2 linked regions of the Ovis aries genome follow. The main gene of each other region encodes a partner of the protein of the gene in region 2 in a complex. Links are inferred from orthologs where the notes say so. Each region holds a gene or a part of one and is shown on either strand. Other genes may lie near its edges.

Region 1 (10,295 bases), on a different chromosome or scaffold from region 2:
CCTGCCCTCAATCTTTCCCAGCATCAGGGTCTTTTCCAGTGAGTCAGCTGTTTACATCAGCTGGCCATCGTATTGCAGCTTCAGCATCAGTCCTTCCAGAGAATATTCAGGGTTGATTTCCCTTAAGATTGACTGTTTTGATCTCCTTGCTTTCCAAGGGACCTCTCAAGGGTTGTTTCCAGCACCTAAGTTTGGTTCTCTGCCTTTGTTATGGTGCCCCTCTCACATCCATACATGACTACTGGAAAGAACGTGGCCTTGAGTATACAGACCTTTGTCAGCAAAGCGATGCCTCTGCTCCTTAATACACTGTCTAGGTTTGTCACAGCTTTCCTGCCAAGAAGCAATCTGAGAGCTTAGAAAATGGGCCTCTGGGGCCAAAGTTTTTTTGAGCCCCATTATCTAAGCTCAGCCTTGGGAACCACTACTGGCATTCCCAGAAAAAGGGGTAAGTTTGATAAACAGACAAAGCCAAATACTGCATAGCTGAAGTCTTTAACAAGCTATTCTGAGATGCCAAAAGGACACATACGCTGTGTCCCAGAAATTCAGGAGTCACCCGTGGCTCATAGGGCATAGCACCCTGGGCAAGTGAACCCATTCGTCTTGTTACCATAACCTCTATGGCACTCTGCACTGTGACCTGTACTTCCTGCCAAAGCGGGGCAAGGGTCAGCTCTGGTGGCTGGACTGGGGCAAAAGAGAACACCTCTCCAGCCTCAGTGGCTCACTCCTGAGAAGCCCTAAAATCTGCAAGGGTCCAGGTCAAAGACACACAACAGGCTCCTTTGGGCTTCCCCCTGCCTTCCCAGCCAGATCCCCACCACACACAAAGCCCATCTGAGGCCTAGGCGGTGCCCCTAGGCTTTGCTGCTTGCTCTCTGCCTCTGGGAAGTAGTGTATAGTTTTAGAAACACTTGCTCCAGGACTAAAGGACAGACCCAGTGCAGTGGGAAATTGTCTCAGAGATGAAAATGGAAATCAAGTCAGGCTGGTCTTAAGTGCTGCTGAGTCATGGGCCCCTTGGAGAATCTGACATTGTTTGGTGCCTATAACCAACCCCTTTTGTTCAAAATCATACACAGACTAAAAGCCTTGTCGGGATCCTCTATTTAAGTAATGAGAAACTGAGCCCAGGGAGAGGCAAAGACTTGCCCTAGATCACACAGCAGAGCCTGGGTGAGCAGTCAAGCCCCCAGGTCACAGCAGCAGTCCTAAGAGGCCTGAACCCCAGAGAAAGGCCAGAGGGAAGAGAAGACGTGAGTGGAATTGGGTAAATGGTTTTAATGTGTAACAGCAGGCCAGCTGAGGAGGACAAGACCCCCCCCCAAGGCCCCAGCCCTTCTCCCATGATGGCCTGGGACCTGTGTGTGCCAGCCAGCCCCGTGCCTGCCCTGGCCCTGTGGCCCACCAGTCCCAGGGAGGGTGGGAGAGGAAAGTGGGGAGCCGGGAGCTCAGCCTAGAGAGTTCAGGGGAGCAAACACAGGGGCTAGTTGAATCTGGCCTTGGAAAAGTCCATCTCTGGATGCTGATCCATGAACCTGCAGAGACAAAGCAGGAAGGTGAGACAGGCCATCCGTCTCCCTAAATTTGTCCCTTTCTCTCAGCCTCCAACATGAGGTCTCATCTGTTTACAGCTCTCAGCAACCCGGAGCCATGCCAGACAGGAGTGGGGCCCCCAAGGTCTCCCCAAGGCTGGATGCTGAGGTGCCAACACCGGCACTGCTTTTTCTGTTGGAAACTGTGACCGCCTGTTACCCTTTCCTATCCTGTGGTGGCCTTGCCCTCAAGATGACCTCAGTAAGTGATTAGGGGAGGCAAGCCAAGGCTATAAAGCCATAAACTTGGCTGGCTCATCCTGGAAGGGGCGGGGCAGCTCCTGTGTTCTGCTCAGTAAACACTTGCCACTGTCACCCAGGTCCCAGCCGTAGACACCTCCCCCAAACCCCCATCTCTGCATCGCTCACTTCTTCAGAATCTCCTGTTTCTTCTGCTCATCGGAGGTAGGCAGCCCCATAGACTTCTGTCTCTGGTCGTACATCATCTTCTCCACCATGCTACGGGTCTCACTGTCCAGGTCTGACAGCTGGGGGCAGACAGTGACAGGGTGGGTGAAGGCCTGGGGCCACCCAGGCCCCAAACCTCCCGACCGCAGCTCCTCCAAGCAGCCTGGGCTCACCTTGGAGTTCTCGGGGTTTATCTTCTTAGTATTGATCTCGGGGTCACTGGATACCAAGCGGCTCCACCACTCCATCTTGTTAATCTGAGAGGAAGAGGAGGGCCACCCGGGGACGGGTGGTGGCTCACTCTGGACCCTGGTGACCACCCCCCAGCTCTTCCAGAACCAAACTCTCTCCCAGCCACATCCTGCATCAGGGACTTACAAGGCCTGAACTGGGACCTAGGGGCAGAGAGGCAAGACCTCTGCCCTCCCCGGTGGCTGGGGGAGACAGACACGGAGACAGTCAGCATGATAACGGAAAGAATAAAGTACAGAGGGAGATACTCATCAGGTGGAGGGAGAGGTTCGGATGACACACAGGGCTGGGCCTTAAACGACACGCGTGAACCACGTTAAAAAGCAGGGAAGGACATTCCAGGTGGGAGGAAATGCAAGGGCAAGGGCACAGAGGGGTGAGTGAGAGGCAGCCAAGGGGGTCAGGTAGGCTGGGCCAGGCAGTACATGCCATGGGACTCTTTCCTTGGACCCTGGCGCTTCACAGAGCCCATGTTCACTTACTGGGGTCTGCATCCCAGTTCTCTGAGAGGGGAGAACGCGGGCTTCCAGAGGGGCATAGCTTTCTACGTCTGGTTCACTGTTTTCCCTCCAGCACTTAGAACAGTCTCTGGCATGAGTAGGTGTTCAAGTATTTGCTGAACTGAATGCTTGTATTGATACAAACCTAATGGAGGGACTTCCCTGGTGGGTCCAGTGGTTAAGACTCTGAACTCCCAAGGCAGGGGGCCCAGGTTCGATCCCTAGTCAGGGAACTAGGTCCAATGTGCTGCAACTAAAGATCCCACATGCCACAAGGAAGATCCCGCACATGGCAACTAAGACCCATAATAAAAATTCAGACCCAAAATAAAAACCAGAAAAAAACCTAATGGACCTGGAGAAGGAAATGGCAACCCACCCCCGTATTCTTGCCTGGAAAAGTCCATGGACAGAGGAACCTGGCGGGCTGCAGTCCATGGGGTTACATGACTGAGCATGCATGCATGAGGGTGGAGGGAGATGGGCTGGTACGAATAAGCTGGTAGAACAACAACAAAAACCTAAGGGAAAGGAAAAGGCTTTGGTACTAAAGACAACCCGGATCTTTAACTCCACCCTCTTCTAGAGGCAGAAGTTGGGCAGATCTCTTGGGCTGCCCTTTTTCTGATTCTAAAATGTGGCAGACCTACTATCAAAGTCTTATTGTGGGGATGAAATAAGATATGCCCATCAGGCCCCCAGCAGGGCCCCCAAGTTCAGAAACAGCCAATCAGGACAGAGGGCGGGGCCTTTCGCACCTTCTCCAGATGCACCGTCACCACCTTGCCGTCCTCGATGAGCCACGAGCTCTCCTCCACCTTCACCTCGTTGTAGAGCTCCCCGTCCACGATCGCTGGCTGTCCCTTGAGCCCCACCCGGAGATGCCGCCGCTGGATGTCCACCACCACGTCCTTCCCCTTCAGCCGGAAGTTCACGCGGAAGGGCACGGCCAGCTGCACAGGGCAGGAGCAGTCAGGGGGCGCCCCAGGCCAGCGCCCTCCCTGCCGCCCCAGCCCCCACACTCACATCCAGCTCCGACAGGGTCTGGGTCCAGCGGTAACTGGGCAGGTCCGCCCCATTGCCGAGGTTGGGCTTCAGTTTCCCTTTGTCCTTCTCATCCTCCTCCTCCTCGTCCTCCTCGGCCTCCTGCTCACAATTGGGGAGCTCAGCTACTTCCCTGACAGACCCAGACTGAACCCCACTGGCTGGCACGGCACATACAGCCACAGACAACACAGCAGACCAGGTCCCTGCACAGCCCACGGCCCACTGCGAGGCAGAGGTAAAACCTGTCTGGCTCTCTGCCGGCTCTGCTGAGAGGGGCTCAGATGGGGAGAGTGTGGGGCAGCTGAGGGGAGGCGGCAGTCAGAGACAGACCCCGGGGACCCAGCCAAGGGACCTGGAAGGAAGCCCAGCCCAGAGCAGGTCAGCAGGCGGCCGCCAGCAGAGCTGCTCTAAAGGAAAACCAGCCTGCCAAATGGTCAGCTTCGTTCGGAAGGTGGGGACCCAGCCTCAGACTAGAACTTCTGAAGAGCTAAAGGAATGTCCCCAAGGATTCCGTGGGAGCAGGGGGAGCCCTGAGGAGAACATGCCCTGGGCGTGTCAGAGAAACCCACCACAGACCCGAGCCCACCCTCATGGTGTCCGTGCAGCACTGCCCATCTCTGTCTCTCTGGCTTTCCTGCCAAGGCTTAAATTAAGCCAGTGAGCTTTGGAGTCTTTTTTTTAACCCCCTTTGGTCCAATGTGGGATCCTGGAGTATGAGGAGGATTCCCAAAGCTAAGGGAACGGTGGGGTGGGCTTTCCAGAGAAAGGGAGTGGGTCAAGAGCTCCAGAAGTTCCCAAACCCCTCCAGTCCATCTCACCTGCTTCCCTGGTGAGCCAAGACTGCCATTCTTGAGCTGGGCCTCCTGATTCTCGGCATCCTTTTTCTGTGGCAAACGGGAAAACAGCTGGCAAGAGGGGCCCCACTTCTAGTGTCCATGGGGGTCATGGGGCAGGGGAGGGAAGCCCATTCCTACCTGGTCAATTTCCAGCTGTAGCCTCTCAGCCTCCTCATCAGTCAGTTCCTTGATCTGGGGCCCGGAGGTCTCTGACTTGGCCTCCTTGGCCAACCTGGCTGCCCGCTCCGCCTTCTCCCGCCGCTCAGTCTCCTGCCGAGCTCGCTTCTCCCGCCGGGCCTTCTGTGCCAGCTGGTTGTGGTGGTTGAAGGTCTGTGTGATAAGCTGAGGAAGGAAGAGAAGACTAAGAGGCATCGAGGGAGAAGACACGTTCCAAGACATGAAGCCAGACCCATCTCTGAGTGCCTGGGCAAGGCACTGCACTTAGAACCTCAGTTTCCACATCTTTAAAATGGGATTTAATACACATCTATCTCATTGAGTTGTAATGAGAATACCTGCAAAGTATCTGCTTCAATAAATAGCAATCACTTAAAAAAAAAAAGGCAGTCCAGGGAATAAGAGCCAACACTGAAGTTAGACAACCTGCATTCTAATCCAGCTTTGTCACACACTAGCTATTTTATTTTTGGCAAATTCCTTAACCTATTAATGGTGTTAATGGGCTTCCCTGGTGGCTCAGTGGTTAAACAATCCACCTGCCACTGTAAGGGATGCAGGTTTGATCCCTGGGATGGGAAGATCCCCGGGAAGCTTCAGAGCCCTTATCAGCGAGGGTAAGTCCCTACCTCGCAGGAATGTCGGGCAGACCAAATGATAAGTGCTTTGAAAGTCCCTCATAGCAGAGTGAAGCTGTCAGGAGAACTCCAGCCTCAGCCCCTCTGAGAAGCTTTTCCTCAGCTCTCAGGCCAGAAAGAGCGTTCTGGAGGGAAAAGGTCAGCGTCTTCCTCCCCTCGGCCTGTAAGCTATCAATTTCAAATCCATCCTCTCCCACGACGCCTTCCTAGGATGCTTCTAACCTGCTTTGTGCTAGCTGCCTGCCTCTGTGGCCCAAAAGCGACCCCAATACTGTTACCACAGGGTCTGGCTCTGTGGCCTTGGACAAGGAAACAACTTTGACCTTTCTAAGCCTCAGTTTCATCGGCTGTCACGAAGACTGCACATGACACTTGTCAAGAGATTGGCACAGTCCTAGCCACAAACCAACTGCACATAAACTGCTGGCTGCCCAACACCCCCTGCCTGGTGGAGGCTAACCCAGGGTCAACTGGTGGGGAAGCACCTTCTCTGCTATGAAGATAATGACCGGAAGAATGCTTACACCTCATGTTTTACATCAGAAACTCCTGAAGTGTGGTTCCCTGATCCCTAGAATATGTTGGCATCACCCAGAATTTGTTAGAAATGCTGACTCTCAGGCTCTACTCCAGGCCTACTGAATCAGAAATCCCAGGGGTGTGGCCCAGCAATTTGCACTTTTGACAGGCCCTCCTGGCCAATTCTCATGCATACTTGAGTCACACCTACATCTGAGATCCTGGCCTACTCCTTCTGCCTGCGCGACCCTGAGGTCATCTCTCTGTGCTTCTATCGTATTATTTCTAAAAGCAGTCTTACATAGCTGTTCTTTGCCTAGAATATCCTTGCCTCTACTCTCAGATCACCTCACAAACAGCTTCTTATCCTCCAGGACCAGCTCAAGTGTCTGTTCAATTTCACCTCTTCTCCTTTGCCAGACTCAGGAATTTACCCAACTTAAGAAACCCAACTCTGTGTCAACCCACACACCTGGAGGAGCCCTCACAGGACACGCGCCACATGATCAGTGGTCAACAAACCATCTTTCAAGAATCTCTGAGCCAGAGCTAGAGGGAAATGGATCTGCAAGAGTTGAGGGGAACCACGTGGGGCCAGAGTCACCGAAGTCAGCCATGGGCTCCTAGGCCTAGGGTTCTGCCAAATGCCCTGCGGCCTTTCATTCACTGGGTGCCAATGCTTCCTGTTACCCTCAAACCTCCAACTTCATGCCACATTACAGTAGCTCCACACTCTTCGAGGCTAAAGGGCACCAAAGGCACCCCGAAACCAAATGGGTTAACAAAATGAGGTGTGTCTAGGAAAGAAATGAGCCACCTGAAGGCCACTGTGCTGTCAACAGAAGGGGTTGGTCATGGCCCAATTGCGCCAGCAGAGGCTGTTCCACTCTAATCAGGGAGACCTTGAACTCAGGCCATCTGCTAACCAGTGGCCAAGGGAGGCAGCAGCGGGCCGCCCCCTCTCCCAGCTCCAGTGAACCACGTCCCATTCGTCCTGTTCCTTCCCAGCTCCTGGAGGGCAGATGAGGGCAGAGCTGAACCACCAGGCAGAGTCAAGGCCAGTCACAGCAGCCTCTGACCCCTCCTCCCAGTCTCCTCCCACCGGCTTTACCCGGGCCCAGGCCCAGGCAGAGACCCCCACGAGATTACTCAGGGTGCCAACTGGCAGGCTGTCAGAGTCAAGCTTCTGTCACTGGACATGTCTTTGGGAACCAGAGCCCAGCAGAGTGAGGAATGGGTGAGGAGGGCTGGGAGGCCCCCAGAGTGTTCGGTGGGCATACCTGAACACAGCTTTCCCTGACCTAGCGTGGGTGACAGGAGAGTAAAGAGTGGGTGCCACCAGACTGGCCAAGGAAGACTCTTGAGATATTTAAGCTAAACCCAAAGGCACGAGGTCCTGGACCTGACCATGGAGTGGGGGGAACACGTCTGAGGGAGAAGACCCATTCCTGTTCTAGAACTTCATATAAATGGACTAACTCAGTGTGTGCTCTTGTCTGTCTTCCTTTAGCAGGCTGAATAATATGTATGTATGTGTGTGCTCAGTCATGCCCGACTCTGCAACTCCATGGACTGTAGCCTGCCAGACTCCTCTGTCCTTGGAATTTTCCAGGCAGGAACACTGGAGTGGGTTGCCACTTCCTCCTCCAGGGGATCTTCCTGACCCAGGGATTGAACCTGCATCTCCTGTGTCTCCTGCAGATTCTTTACCTGCTGAGCCATCGGGGAAGCCCAAATATTATACTACATGGATATATGACATTTTGTTGATTCATCTATCAATGAATGCTTGGACTGCTCCCAGTTTTCGGCTCTTTTGAACAGTGCTGCTATGGGTGTGCAAATCTCTCTTCAAGATCCTGCTTCCAGGGCTTCCCTGCTGGCTCAGTGGTAAAGAACCCACCTGCCAAGGCAGGAGACACAGGTTTGACCCCTGATCCAAGAAGATCCCACATGCTGCGTAGCAACTCAGGCCATGCACCACAACCACTGAGCCTGGGCGCCAGAGCCTAGGCACTGCAATTACTGAGCCCACGTGCTGCAACTATTGAAGCCCACTTGTCCTAGAGACCACGCTCCGCAGAAAGAAAAGCCCCCACCACGAGAAGCCCATGCTCCACAACTAGAGAGTAGCCCCCACTCGCCGAACGAGAGGAAAGTCCACACAGTAATTAAGACCCAGCACAGCCAAAAATTAAAAAAAAAAAAGAGATCTTGCCTCCGATTTCAGGGGGTAATGGGATTGCTAGATCACATGGTAGCTCTGTTTTTCAATTTTCTGAGGCACTGCCATACCGTTTCCACAGCAGCTGCACTATTTTAAATTCCCACTGGTAGTGCACACAAGTCCCAGTTTCTCTACAACCTTATCCAACACTTGGTGTTTCTGGGGGTTTCCAACAGAATCCATCCTAGCGAGTGTGAGGTGACAACATTTCACTGTGGTTTTTTTTTGCCTTTCTCTAATGACAAGTGATATTGAGCGTCTTTTACAACAAAAAAGAACTATAATTCACTTTTACCAGCAATGTCTGAAGAGCACCCTTTTTTTTCCCACATCCCTGTAAGCAATTAAAAATATATATTTTTGTCAGTTTGACCAGAAAAAAAGGGCATCTTACTGTTTAGCTCATCTACATTTCCTCGATTACTACTGAATGTAAGCATCTTTTCATATGCTCCTCGTGGAATGGCCCATTTTTCCATTTATCCTTTTTTTGTCAACTTACAAGAGTTCCTGCATATTAAACTGACTCCTAAATTTTATCTGTCCTCTGCATTGCATTTTCCCCAGATCTATTGTTTTTCAAATGACTCTATGTCACTGCGTCTCTTCTGCCACATTTTCTATATCTGAAGAGACAGACAGCTATCTTTTATTCTATAGCTTCCAGGTTTCTATCCTTGCTAGGTCTCTTCCACACAAGGTTATACAGTTTCCTAGCTTTCCTTACTAAGCTCTTCTTGATCTGCCAATTTATTTTTAGATATGAGTACAACAGGCTTCCCAGGTGGCACTAGTTGGCAATACACGAGACGTAAGACACACAGGTTCTATCTCTGAGCCAGGAAGATCCCTTGGAGGAGGGCATGGCAACCCACTCCAGGATTGGTGCCTGGAGAATCCCATGGACAGAGGAGCCTAGCAGACTACAGTCCATAGGGTCGCAAAGAGTCGGACACAACTGAAGTGACTTAGCAAGCATGCACATATGAAAGAAACAGATGGTTTTACACTTTTGGTGCTTTACAAAGAGACAGTTGTAATAGCACAACTTATTAAGTCATCTTTTGCCTATGAACTGAATTACCATACTGGACACATCTTAAAGTTAGACTTTTTCTGGGTTCCCTGTTTCACTAGTCTGTTTGTCTCTTCCTATGTCAATAACATACTGATTTGATCATTATGGCCTTTATGCAAATCCACAATGCCTAGCTTCAAAAGCTATAAAAACTAGTGTTTTTGTGTTTCTCTAAGTTTGAAGCATGAAGGTATTTACAGTCTTCCTATCTTGGCATAAACATGGATATACACTTCTCTGCAGAAATATCAATGTTTCATTACATTATGCTGCTCCTGACCCCTGGACTGGAGTAGAGTATATTATATACAGTATATGCACTGTGAAAGTGTTAGTCACTCAGTGGTGTCTGACTTTTTGCAATCCCATGGACTGTAACCCGCCAGGTTCCTCTGTCCATGGAATTCTGCAGGCGAGAATACTGGAGGTAGTGGGTAGTGATTCCCTTTTCTGAGGGATCTTCCAGACCAGGGATCCAACCCAGGGTGTCCTGCATTGCAGGCAGATTATTTATCGTCTGAGCCACCAGAGAAGCCCAAGAATTCAAGTTCACAGTCCCTTTTTTGAACCTGTTGGGGCCAGATGTGTTTTGGGATTAGAATTCTTTTGGATTTTAGGAGGCAATACAGTGCATATTTAACCCTAACTCTTTTTATCCTCACAACAGCCTTGTGAGAGAAAGATTATCCCCTCTTCCGGGGGCGGCAGAGGGGAATGAGGCTCAGAATGTGATTCATCCAAAGCAGCTGTCAAGCAGGGAGAGGGGCACACTAGGATTCAGCCACATCTGCCTAGCTCCAGAGAACATGCTCTCAACCAACACACTTGGAAAGGATTCATCTGGTAGCCCGGTGCACAGCAGGTCAACACAAAGGAGTTACTGGTGTTACAACTGGAGACCAGTTGGGAGGGCTGGATAGATTTCTGCCTGCCTGAGAGTTCCAACCAACCTCTTGGCAAAGAGCTGACTAAGGGAACAAAGAGGCAAGGAGCATAACAGAGGAACCAGCAGACG
Region 2 (12,299 bases):
TGTGATCAAACTGCTTCAGAGCTGTGTGAGGGAACGTAGAGCCTACAGCAGATAAGCCAGGGCTGATTTGCAACTTTCCACTGTGTCAGGAACACCGGAGAGAAGTTTCCCAACCTTTCTGCCTTTTGAATTTTTAAATTCGTGGGATGTATTTTCTTTTTATTGAGATATAGTTTACATTCAGTAAAAATCACCTTTTCTGCTGTATAGTTCTGAATAAATAGTCATGCAACCACCATCGCAGTCAAGATATGGAACATTTCCATCATCTCCCCAAATTCCCGTCTCCCTTTGTCAAAGATCCCAGCCCCTGGCAACCACTGATCCAGTTTCTGCATCAATACTTTTACCTTTCCCAGAAGCTCCTTAAAATGGAGTCACACAGTGCACAGACGATTGAAACTGGCTTCTTAACATAATGCATTTGAGGTTCCTCTGCATTGCTTCCTGTGTCAATAGCTCAATCCTTTTTTATGACTGAATAGTATTCAGTTTGTTTACATTTCACCCACGGAAAGACATTCAGGTTTAAATGGCTGTTGGTAATGACAAATAAAGCCTTGGTAAGTATTTGCTCACTGGTTTTTATGTGAACATAGGTTTTTATTTCACATGGGCATTCCACCAGGGCAGATTGTTAGCTTATATGACTGTAATGCTTTTGAAGTTCTTTTTGATGAAGAAGAGTTGAAAAGAGTGGTGATGCTTTTTTTTTTTAAAAAAAAAGTAAGGCTTTATCATCATCTGAATCACATCTTATACAAGCTGAGTGCTTACCATAAACACTCAATATGCTAAACAGTTTACACCTCAGCATTTTATTCACTAGGTGACCTTAGGCAAGTCATGTAACCTCTCAGAGCCTTGGCTTCCCTACCTGTAAAACAGAGGTAATGAGGTAATCCAACCTCATAGGATTATCTTTTTTAATGAAGTTCTTTTTGGCGGTGCTGGGTCTTCATTGCTCCACTCGGGCTGTCTCTAGTTGCAGAGCTTTGGCTTCGCATTGTGGTGGCTTCTCTTGTTGCAGAGCATGGGCTTTAGGCACAAGGCTTCAGTAGTTACGGCTCTCGGGCTTAGTTGCCCCACGGCACGTGAGATCTTCCCGGACCAGGGATGGAACCCATATTCCCTGCACTGGCAAGCAGATTCTTAACCACTGGACTACCAGGGAAGCCCTTCACAGGATTATTATCAGGATGAAATGAGTTCATACACATTGAGTGTTTGGAACCGATTTGACACAGAGTAGGACCTTGTCAGTGTTAGCTATTATTATAAGGTTTATTGCCTGGCCCTCTCAAATTCACATAGCAACCCTGGGAGGTAAGATCTACTCTTATCCCAGTTTTATGGAGGACATACTTAGCAATTACAGAGAATAAGTTGGGCAAGATCACATGGGCAGTAAATAAGCAAACAGCAGGTCCAGGTTCTCAACTAAGGCTGACTGACTCCAGACTGACCTGCTTAGTTCTTATATTCTTAGTTCTTAGTTCTACTAATGAAACGGAAGCAATAGGATATATGTGTTTGTGAGTGTGTCTGTGTATTAAGAGACTTGTTTCAGGCATTGGCTCTCACAATTGTGAGGGCTGGCAAGGCAAGTGTGAAATCTGTAGGGCAGACCAGCAGGTCTTGGCCAGGAACTAATGCTTCATTCTCAGGCAAACCTCCATATTTGCTTTTAAGGTCTTTCAGTGTTTGCTTTTAAAGCCTTTCAAGTGACTGAATGAGGTCTACCCACAAAATCAAGGGTCATCTCCTGTACTTAAAGCCAACTGATTATAGATGTTAACCTAACCACATCTGCAAAACACCTTCACAGCAGCACTTAGATTAGTGTTTAGCTGAATAACTGGGTACTACTGCCTAGCCAAGTCTATGCATATAACTACCCATCACATTGTCTCCTGTTCTCTGAGTTGATAGCTCAAACCTCTGCTAAGTTTCTGTGAAAATCACTCTTCTAGTAACATTCCAACGTACCTGGTGAGGGAATTCCCTGGAAGTCCAGTGGCGAGGACTCTGCACTTTCATTGCCCAGGGTGCAGGCTCAATCCCTGGTTGGGGAACTAAGATTCCACAAGCCACTCAGCCTGGCTGGGAAACAAAAAAAAAAACAGTGCCCTGTGAGTATGTGTCCAGGTCAAAGAACATAATAAGAGCAGTTGAGTTACGGCTCTTCTTTTTTGGGGGGGTGGGGAGGGCGGAGCTTAAACAGTTAAAACCTCCTGAATATGACCCAGGCTTACTCAAGGAAGGGAGATTTCCCAGCCCTAAGGTTGCCCCCAAACACAAGGACACCCCTTGCACGATGTTGCTGGTCTACCAGAGCTATGTGAAGACCTTTAGAGGCCTCCACATCTGTTAACATTTTTTTTAGGGTGGGTTTATAAGTGGCATGTGGGATCTTAGTTCCCCGACTAGGGATCAAACCCACACCCCCTGCAGTGGAAGCAGGGAGCCTTAACCACTGGACCGCCAGAAAAGTCCCCACATCTGTAACTCCCTTGTTTTTTTTTAATTTTCGGCCACACAGCATGTGGGATCTTAGTTCCCTGACCAAGTACTGAACCCATTCACCCTGCATTAGAAGCAGAATCCTAACCACTGGACTGCCAAGGAAGTCCCCACATCTGTAACCCTTAAATTTATATGTGTGAAGAAATCCAGAAGCTCTGGGTTTTTCCCCCCATGATGACTCTCCCACTATCTCTTTATGTAACTTTATAAAAAAAAATCGGACTCCCTCTCCTCCATGATTGGTTCAGGACCCCTACAGTGCTGTGCCCTTGGGTATCCAGCCTAGACTCATCCTCCCATGTTGGCTGGTGTGTGTGGCTTAGTCCAGAGTCCTTTGATGGTGGTGGTTTAATCGCTAAGTTCTGTCTGACTGTTTTCGACCCCATGGACTGTAGCCCACCAGGATCCTCTGTCCATAGGATTTTCCAAGCAAGAGTACTGGAGTGGGTTGCCATTCCCTTCTCCAGGAGATTTTCCTGACCCAGGGATCGAACCCAGTTCTCCTGCACTGCAGGCAGATTCTTTACCAACTGAGCTACCAGGGAATCCCTTACTGACAGAGTTACACTGGGGTCAGGGAGTGGCCAGGGATGGCCGTAAGGCCATGGCGTCTTTCTCAAGAGTTCCAGCTTCCACAAGGGCAGTGGTTACCAGAAATGTTTTGCTGTGGTCCTGCCAGGAAGGGGGATCCTCAGCAGCCCACCATTCAACCAGTTAGTCACCCCTTTTACAGAACTTCCTCTAAGCTAGGTCTGTCCCAGGCACTTGACAAATGTTGACTCAATGTCAACTTCAAAGCCCTATAAGGCTGGTACAACTACTACCCTCATTGTACAGATGAGGAAGCTAAAGGCCCTGGAAGGCTCAGTAACCAGCCCAAGATCACACAGCCAGAAAGTGCTGGAACCAAGAATGAAACGTGACTATCTGGCTCCAGCACCAGTGTCACACCACCCAGACTTCCCAAGCAGTTCTTCCAAGAACCTTTCCCCTCTGTAGGCCACCTCCACCTACTCCCCTCTTCCCTTTTCAGGTGGTGCCTCTTTCTGAGCCTCCTTTCCGCGTCAGCCCTGTCCTTGACCACAGACACCCCAGACTGTAGGAGCCAAAATGGATGATGTTGCCCAGAGATGAAGATATTGAGGCCCTGAGAGGTGTATTGCATGCCCATGTCTCCCCCACATCATGAAGGCAGTGGGGTGGGGGTAAAGAACCAGATGCATTAAAAACCGCCAGGACTTTTTAGTCCGCAGAGGGAGAGGGGCAATTGAGTCTGGCCCCGCCTGAAAGGTCGGGCAGGTGGAAATCAACGAGAACTTCCTTGCCAGAAAAACATGAAGAAATCCCAGGAAACTAATAAAGGAAAAAGAAAAGAGGATAGCCTGACTACCTCTCAGAGGAAGCAGCGGGACTCTGAGATCATGCAACAAAAGCAGAAGGCAGCCAATGATAAGAAGTCTATGCAAACAAGAGAGAAATAATGACTATCTGGAAACCAGGGTGCTGCTGCAAACTAAGTGTATCATAAGCTCTATGATCAAGATTTTGTAGAGTGAACAGTCAGTACATGTTATATCCGTACAAAACTATTTTAAACTTTTCCTTTCAACCTGACTTAGCGTGATGTTTCAGAACCATTTCAAAGAATAAAACACTAACCATGCATATGAAAATAAATAAATAAAAATAAAAACAGCCAGGAATATTTACGAAGCTTTGGTTCCAGACACTTCCTGGCACTGGAGACTCAGCACTGACAGGACCCAGTCCCTGACTTTACGGTGATTCCAGGCTAGGAGCGGAGGAGACATTTAACATGAAAACCAAGGAACAATTTCAGATTTCAGTGGTGGGTGTCCTTGAGAAAACGGTAAAATGAGAGGCTTGAAGGGCTGGACTGAGAAGACGTCTGCAGGGAGGTGAACTTTGGCTCCCGGTGCTCACCTCGCTTTGCAGGGTCCTTTATGATTGAGGACGCAGATAGTACTGGAGCTCCCACCTGCATTCTGCTCGCAAAGAGTTGGATATGACTGAGCATGCACACACAGCTGGTAGAACAGGGCGGGTGACTATTTTTATTTCCAGAAGGAAGCGGGTGTCGGGCTGGGGAAAATTAGGCAACTCACACCGCCCAGAGACACCTGGCAGGAACTCATTCCTGGCCCTGTGAGATAGGGGCGGGCATATTTGCATCTGCTAGTGAAGGGGCTAATAGATGGGGAAACAATGGAAACAGTGAGAGACTTTATTTTCTTGGTCTCTAAAGATCACTACAAATGGTGACGGCAGCCATGAAATTAAAAGACGCTTGCTCCTTGGAAAAAAAGCTATGACCAACCTAGACAGCACATTAAAAAGCAGACACATTACTTTGCCAACAAAGGTCCATCTATTCAAAACTATGGTTTTTCCAATAGTCATGTATGGATGTGAGAGTTGGACCATAAAGTTGAGCACAGAAGAACTGATGCTTTTGAACTGTGGTGTTGGAGAAAACTCGAGACTCCCTTGGACTGCAAGATCAAACCAGTCAATCCTAAAAAAAATCAGTCCTGAATATTCACCGGAAGGACTGATACTGAAGCTCAAGCTCCAATACTTTGGCCACCTGATGCGAAGAACTGACCACTGGAAAAGACCCTGATGCTGGGAAAGATTGAAGGCAGGAGGAGATGGGGACAACGGAGAATGAGATGGTTGGATGGCATCAACCACTCGTTGGGACGTGAGTTAGAGCAAGCTTTGGGAGTTGGTGATGGACAGGGAAAGCTGGCGTGCTGCAGTGAGGTCACACAGAGTGGGACACGAATGAGAGGCTGAACTGAACTGTGACGGGGTGGTGTCTTCCCCAGATCCGCCCCTTCCTACAGTAGCGCGTCGTAACCTATTGACCCAGACAGGAGGCGGGCCGCAAGGCCTGCCTGGCTGCAGGAAGCAATAAAACCTGGGTCGCTATTGGTGCCCGCGGAGGGTGGGCGGGGCCTCCGCCGCCCGGGGCGCGCGCCGCTGAGAAGCGTTGCCCAGGATGGGGCAGGGCCGCGCGCAGGAGGCCGTTGGCGGCGCGGCCCCGCCCCGGATGTCGCGCGTCGCAGCCTGGACGACGGGGATTGGCCAAAGCCGCGTGAGGGGCGGGGCGGAAGGTTCTGGAGGGGGCTGGCGGGCTCTGGAAGCTTCCGCCGGACGGGTATATAGAGTCCGGGACGGGGCGGTGGCGGAGCCGGGGGACGGCGACAGCTGGGTGGCGGGCCGCAGGCGGGGGCAATGGGAAAGGACTATTACCAGACGCTGGGCCTGGCCCGCGGTGCGTCGGACGAGGAGATCAAGAGGGCCTACCGCCGTCAGGCGCTGCGTTACCACCCGGACAAGAACAAGGAGCCCGGCGCTGAGGAGAAGTTCAAGGAGATCGCCGAGGCCTACGACGTGCTCAGCGACCCGCGCAAGCGCGAGATCTTCGACCGCTACGGGGAGGAAGGTGCGTGCGCGCGCGCAGCCGGGGGCGCGCCCTCGCCGTTTGACAGGCGGAGAAACCGAGGCAGGGTGGCCTCGCTGCAGCATCTCCGGGGGGTGCTCGGCCGCAGGGGTTGAAGCAGCCCCGGCCCTCTGGCCACAAGGGCCTCCGCCCTCGGATTGGCGGCCGCCCGATGGGAGGAGGGGCCCTGGCCGCGCTGCTTGTTCAGAAGCTTCTAGTATGTCTGGGGCTGCCCCTCCCTGGGCTCTCGCCTCCACCCACGTCCGGGGGTGCGGGTGCAGAAAGAGAGGGTTCGGAGACCTAGCTTGGCTGCTGGCGCTGCGGGCCTGGGCTCACCTGTGCGAGGTGGGAGGCTCTGCCACCCCGGGGTTCAGGGCAGGACCTCTGGCTGAGCCCTGGGCACAGGCTGCGAGTAGTGAGCCTGCAAATGAGGTGCCAATTGGCGCCGAGCGACCTCCCGCGCCTCCGAGGGTGGAGTGAGGTAATCCTTGTAAAGTGCTTACCTAGTCGGCCGTCAAGGTGCAGGGAACAGTGGGGCCAGCCCTCTTCAGGGAAAAAGAAAGCTTTCTTGTCCCGTCTCCCATTGATGACTCAGGCAGGTTGCTGGGCTTGGTCCTCAGGAAGAAGTGGCTAATTACATGAGAATGGGGGCAGTTAGTGCCAGGGTGTGAGAATTTGAAAGTCTGCATTTGCAGTTTCACGTTCCTTTTACTACTCTCCACACGTCTCTAGCTGTAGGGAATTTAAGAGTAAGCATTTAGTGAAAACTGATCCGGGGTAAGCATTTTTCATTGGATCTCTTAGTTTTCCGTACTCATTGTAACAGTGCAAGGGAAATGAGTTACTCAGATGTGAGGACCTGGGTGGCCCCAAGAGATGCCCATCTGAAACCTTGAACACTTCACCATTGTCTTGCCACAGTGGACTAACTGCCATAAGTGGGTGGGGGTTCTGTTTTGCTGCTGCAAGTGGGAGGTAAAAGCTTGGAGTTCTTCCTTGTTCTTCCCTGACAGGCTAAAAAAAATTCCTCCCCCAATGGCTCCTAAGCTTTTTTCCTTGAAGGAAAGTTCCTGGAGAGTTAAGTTCCTAGCTCGCCATCTGATTTCTTCTGCTTTGGCGTTTCAGGCCTGAAGGGCAGTGGTCCCAGCGGCGGGAGCAGCGGTGGTACTAACGGTACCTCCTTCAGTTACACATTCCATGGAGACCCTCATGCCATGTTTGCTGAGTTCTTCGGTGGCCGAAATCCCTTTGACAACTTTTTTGGGCAGCGCAACGGGGAGGAAGGCATGGACATCGATGACCCGTTCTCTGGCTTCCCCATGGGCATGGGTGGCTTCACCAACATGAACTTTGGCCGCTCCCGCCCTGCCCAAGAGCCCACCCGAAAGAAACAAGATCCCCCCGTCACCCATGACCTTAGGGTCTCACTTGAAGAGATCTACAGCGGCTGTACCAAGAAAATGAAAATCTCTCATAAGCGGCTGAACCCCGACGGAAAGAGCATTCGCAATGAAGACAAAATCTTGACCATCGAAGTGAAGCGGGGGTGGAAAGAAGGGACCAAAATCACCTTCCCCAAGGAAGGAGACCAGACTTCAAACAACATTCCAGCCGATATTGTCTTTGTTTTAAAGGACAAGCCACACAATATCTTTAAGAGAGATGGCTCTGATGTCATTTATCCAGCCAGGATCAGCCTTCGGGAGGTAAGGCACTAGGCAGGGCAGCATCTGGGGAGAGAGAAGCTGCTTTGTGATGCTGTTCAGTGTTTGCTTGACAGATGTTTCTGGGCACTTGGTGCGGCCAGGCTTGGACAGTGCAATGGCGACAAGACTGTCCAGGGCTCTGTTTTTCCAGAGCTTCTGTGCTGGTGACGTGGGTAGATCTTAAGGCAGGGTCTTAGCTGCAGAGGTCTGATGGTGCTTACCCTCCAGTCAGCAGCCTCTGGGCAAGATGTGAGCTCCTTAAGCTACTCTTTCTAATGCTGTCCCTTTGCTTTCCAAGGCTCTGTGTGGCTGTACAGTGAATGTCCCCACTCTGGACGGCAGGACCATACCCGTTGTGTTCAAAGATGTCATCAGGCCTGGCATGCGGCGAAAAGTTCCCGGAGAAGGCCTCCCTCTCCCGAAAACGCCCGAGAAACGCGGGGACCTCATTATTGAGTTTGAAGTGATCTTCCCTGAAAGGATTCCCCAGACGTCAAGAACCGTTCTTGAGCAGGTTCTTCCGATATAGTCAATCCGTGTTCCCCAAGGACTGACCAGGGACCTTTCCAGAGCTCAAGGATTTCCTGACCGTTCCACCAGCTGTGGACCCGTGAGAGGGCGGGAGGGCCCAGGGAGGGCTTTCATACTGCTGAATGTTTTCCAGAGAATATATTACAATCTTTCAAAGTCGTGCACTAGACTAAAGTTGTTTTTCGAGCGGTAGGGCGGCAGGTGGTGGGGACAGCAGGCAAAGGCAGTGCAGTCTGCCCCACTGGGTCCTTGCAGCCCTCCTGGGTGGGCAGCACCCCCCTCCTCCCTCTCCAGGCCCTGCCCAGGGGGAGAGGCAGACCGCGGACCCACAGCTGGACTTGATCCCCCTATTGTAGTCCCTCCGCTTGCAGACATCCTGGGGTGTGGACCTGCGTTTATGGGTACCAGACCCTGTACACTCCTGAGTTTCTATTGTGTGATCAGTTCGTGTTTTATTCTGTATTTGTCTCCCCCATCTTGCCCTTCCCCTAAGAAACCCCGTCTTCTCTTTTGCCATCTCAAATTGAGAATCTCAACTCTGGTTGTTGAACTGCCTGGCCAGCTCCCACAAGCAATACCTCCCTTGTTCCAGCAGGACCAAGGGAGCCGGCCTTCACTGAGTGAGTAACTTGTGCAGCTGCCTCTCCCTCAAGGGTGGGGGACCTTGGCTGGAGTCTTGACCCCAGGCTCCCAGACAGAGATCTTCACCTTCCTTTGCTGTGAGGCAATCTATTGGCACACCTGGGATTTCCCCGTGACCCAGGTCATTTTTTTTGTTCAATGGACTCTGGACTCTCTCAAAAGGATCTGATCCTTTTGAATTTTGCACAGCCCTAGCTATAATCCCTTTTGATAAAAGGGTCTTTGCTTCTGATTACAGGAGCACTGTGGAACGCCTGTAAATATGTTTTTATAATTCTGTGTAAAGTTGGTGTGCAGTCAGACGAAACCGGTCCACAGCAGCTGCTGCTCTCTGTAAAGGGCCATGATGGAACTGAGAAAGAACCTGGTGGGGGTGGGGGGCGGGGGGGTGTTGGAACAAGTGTTTGTTCCTTGCAGGTCAGTCTGGTGCTCAGACTTTTAGACTCATTGTAAGTTGCCACTGCCAACACAAGACCAAAGCGTGTGACTTGTCAATGTGCAGCGTGACAGCATTAAAGACTGATGCTAAACCTCAGGGGAGCGGTCCTGCGACTCTGTTTAAGGGTTCTGCTGATGGGATGGGGTGGGGTCGGGGCAGCCCTCCAGAGGCAGCCAGGGTGGGTGGGAGGGAGGGGCAGGCAGGAGGTAGGAGTCCTCTGCAAGGGAGAGAAGTTGCCCTCCTGAGCTAAATATGGGGTGAACAAGAGAAAGCCGCCGGACTGGATCTGGGCATCAGAAGAGCCCAGTGGATTCAGAGCTTGTTTTTTGGTGAAGGTTGGGGCCAAAGTTAAACAGATCCTTTCCCAGTCTTGCAAGATCTGGTTGCTGGGGCCAAGAAGTGTGTGCCCTACTCTCTTAATCTCCACCCACCCCCCCCCCCCCCCCCCCAACCCCTGCTTTCTTGCTAGAACAAGCTGGTGTCAGGCAGGCCCTGGCCAAACCAGATTAGGATTCCAACCCAGGGCCACCCCACCCTGGTTAGGACCTATTTCCTGCCCTCCCTCTATTTGCAGGCCACTGAAACTGCTTTTACTTTGTAACTTTTTTTAAGGAACTAGTTTTATTATAAGGTAAGTAATTACACAGGCCAAAAACTGCATTGCTATTTTGCTACAAGATATCTGGTGTAGAAACTTAAATAACCATATTTAACATAACCTTAGAGGGCTTTCCCTTCCCACTGAAACAGTTTAACCACTGGAAGCAATCTAAGGGTAGTGCTGTCCCAGAGAACCTTCTTCAGCGATGGAAATGTTCTTTTTAAAACAAATTCTTTAAGATTCAACAGAACAAAGTTGCTTGGTAGCTACAGGTACGTTTCAAGTGCTCAGCACCCGCCCCTGGTGGCTAGCAGTGATTATTGGACAGCACAGATCTTAGAGGGCTTTCCACCCAAACCTAAGCCATGGGTCTCTTAGAGGAGTAGCTGCTTCGAGCCCAGAGAGGCCATCCTCATTCGGAGGTGACCCCTGGAGTATTAGAGCCAAGAGGGACCCTATCACCACTTCCAGGATGAGGAATGATATTTATTGCAGAATTGGCCCTGGCCTCAACTGGGGTCACAGACCCCCTTGCGCTGCCATCCACCTGCCCCAGCCTTCCTCATTAACATAGCTGGTCTGTATAGGGTTCTTATCCAAGGGCTGTGGGCACAGATGTGCACAAAGCTTCAGTGTGTCACACGCAATCCTGGTAACTTGGAGAAATAACCTTCCTGTGGTAGTGGATGGGACAGTGCCACTCTTCAGGAAAAGGACAAGGACCCTAGTAAACAGGCCTGTCCCTCGGATGCACAGCCTTGGCCCACACTGGACCTGGCTGCACGTGTGTGTCAGGTGTTCGGTTTGTCTGCAAGCTGGCTTCTCCCCTTGCTCCCTTAGCTTCCCTGTAAAGAATTTATTCTCCCACGATGTCTATCCTGGCCACATTTTGGAGTTTGCTCCTTCCACAACAGTGTGAGGGGAGCTGCCTCTGTTTTGCACCCACCTCGTGGGGTCGCAAAGAGCTGGACACGACTGAGTGACTAAGCACAGTATCTTTATCCATCACACCAGGAGTACTGCATTTTTCCCTGATTCAAACAGTAGAAAACAAAAATTCACATTCGGCCTGTGGTGAGTAGTCAAGTTCCCTCCTTCCTCAGGACCACTGTAGACAAGCCATGGCATTAGAAATTTTAATTTTGTGCAGCCTCCTAAAGTCAATCTGCTTATATAAGCATAAACATAATTTGTAAATTTTCAGTTTTGATTTTTGGCTATGTAATCACAGTACTGAATTTGTAAGGGCATATAGAGTTAAAAATTCTTCCCATGCTGCTTTCAGGTCCACTGCCAGAGAAATTTTCCCAGTTTTCTCCTGTGCCTTTCCTTCTGTAATGTTGCATGAAGACATTGTTCTTTTTTTACACAAATGGTACATACTGTACGCTCTGTGCCCCCCCCATCCCCCCCACCTTTTTTTCCCTCTCACATATGCAAATAGCTTGTCTTCTGTTTTTCCATATGTTGATTCTACCAGACACGTGCAGGTGGGTGTGAAGATCTAGTTTCACGTTTGGAGGCTCCTATCTCTCCTCTATCATTGCTCCTGCTTCCAGGTTTGAATCGCAACTCAACCACTTTGTAGCTGTGGGACCTTGAGCAAGTGACACGACTTCTCTGTGCCTCAGTTTTTTCAACTGTAGAAGAAGCACAAAAATCACACTTCTACGGTTGTGAGGATTTTCAGGTATAGATACATAGAAGCACACAACAGAGCCTGACACAGAACAAGTGCTGTGTGTCAGTTACTGTACCCTAATGGGAAAATGTTCCTCAGCCCACTCCAAAGAAACCTCTGAGGTGTGTCGTGTCCACGGTCTTTTGGGTCTGTACTCTTGGCTAAGCTCCAGGAACCAAATCCCCAGGCAAGCCCCTGAGACCCACAACTCCACCCTGGCCTTCATCTCACTTGAGAAGGCTCACTCCAGGAATTCTCTGCTGGCCCAGTGGTTTGGGCTCTGTGGTCGCACTGCCAAGGACCTGGGTTCAATACCTGTTCAGAACTAAAATGCCACAAGCCATGCAATGCAGCCAAAAGGAAAAAGCAGGCTCACTCCCATGCTGTTTGGTCACAACCTGCTCACTTGACACCAGCAGTGGAACATCAGGCCCTAGGACTGAGCAGAGTGGGTTTGAGTCCCAGCTCTGTCAGTCAGCTGCTGTGTGTGTTCTTGGGCAAGTGACTTCGCTTCTCTGAGTCTCAGTGGTCACCTTTGAAAACGGCTACTGAAGTTACAGACTTCATAGAGGTATTATGAAAACTGGGCAAGGTAGGGCACTGGGAAGGCAAAAGAACATGGCCTTAAGAACTTGGTTTCCTGGGACATCCTGGTAATCTAGTGGCTAAGACTGAACTCCCAATTGAGGGGGCCTGGGTTCCAT

What was found.
Region 1: the proteins of DNAJB1 (region 2) and NUDC are in contact, whole or in part, in a crystal structure (PDB 7NDX), measured with the Homo sapiens proteins. The link is inferred for Ovis aries from reciprocal best matches to the Homo sapiens genes DNAJB1 and NUDC. Residues at the interface, in NP_006136.1 of Homo sapiens: His166, Lys181, Lys182, Met183, Lys184, Ile185, Ser186, Asp201, Lys202, Ile203, Ile235, Phe237; in NP_006591.1 of Homo sapiens: Pro102, Gln103, Ile104, Lys105, Glu106, Leu107, Ala112, Leu115, Gln116, Ile119.

What each region holds. Positions count from the first base shown.
Region 1 is NC_056055.1:240,000,195-240,010,489, forward strand, and holds the end of NUDC (nuclear migration protein nudC), read right to left. Parts: intron 4,984-10,295; coding exon 4,780-4,983; intron 4,690-4,779; coding exon 4,624-4,689; intron 3,905-4,623; coding exon 3,785-3,904; intron 3,712-3,784; coding exon 3,517-3,711; intron 2,264-3,516; coding exon 2,180-2,263; intron 2,087-2,179; coding exon 1,968-2,086; intron 1,542-1,967; coding exon 1,490-1,541; 3' UTR 1,265-1,489; downstream 1-1,264. UniProt on the Homo sapiens protein: Plays a role in neurogenesis and neuronal migration. Necessary for correct formation of mitotic spindles and chromosome separation during mitosis. Necessary for cytokinesis and cell proliferation.
Region 2 is NC_056058.1:9,584,560-9,596,858, forward strand, and holds DNAJB1 (dnaJ homolog subfamily B member 1), read left to right. Parts: upstream 1-5,739; 5' UTR 5,740-5,787; coding exon 5,788-5,998; intron 5,999-7,120; coding exon 7,121-7,701; intron 7,702-7,999; coding exon 8,000-8,230; 3' UTR 8,231-9,409; downstream 9,410-12,299. Other genes in the region: small EDRK-rich factor 1-like, read left to right, coding at 3,310-3,393, 3,560-3,624, 3,797-4,007. UniProt on the Homo sapiens protein: Interacts with HSP70 and can stimulate its ATPase activity. Stimulates the association between HSC70 and HIP. Negatively regulates heat shock-induced HSF1 transcriptional activity during the attenuation and recovery phase period of the heat shock response.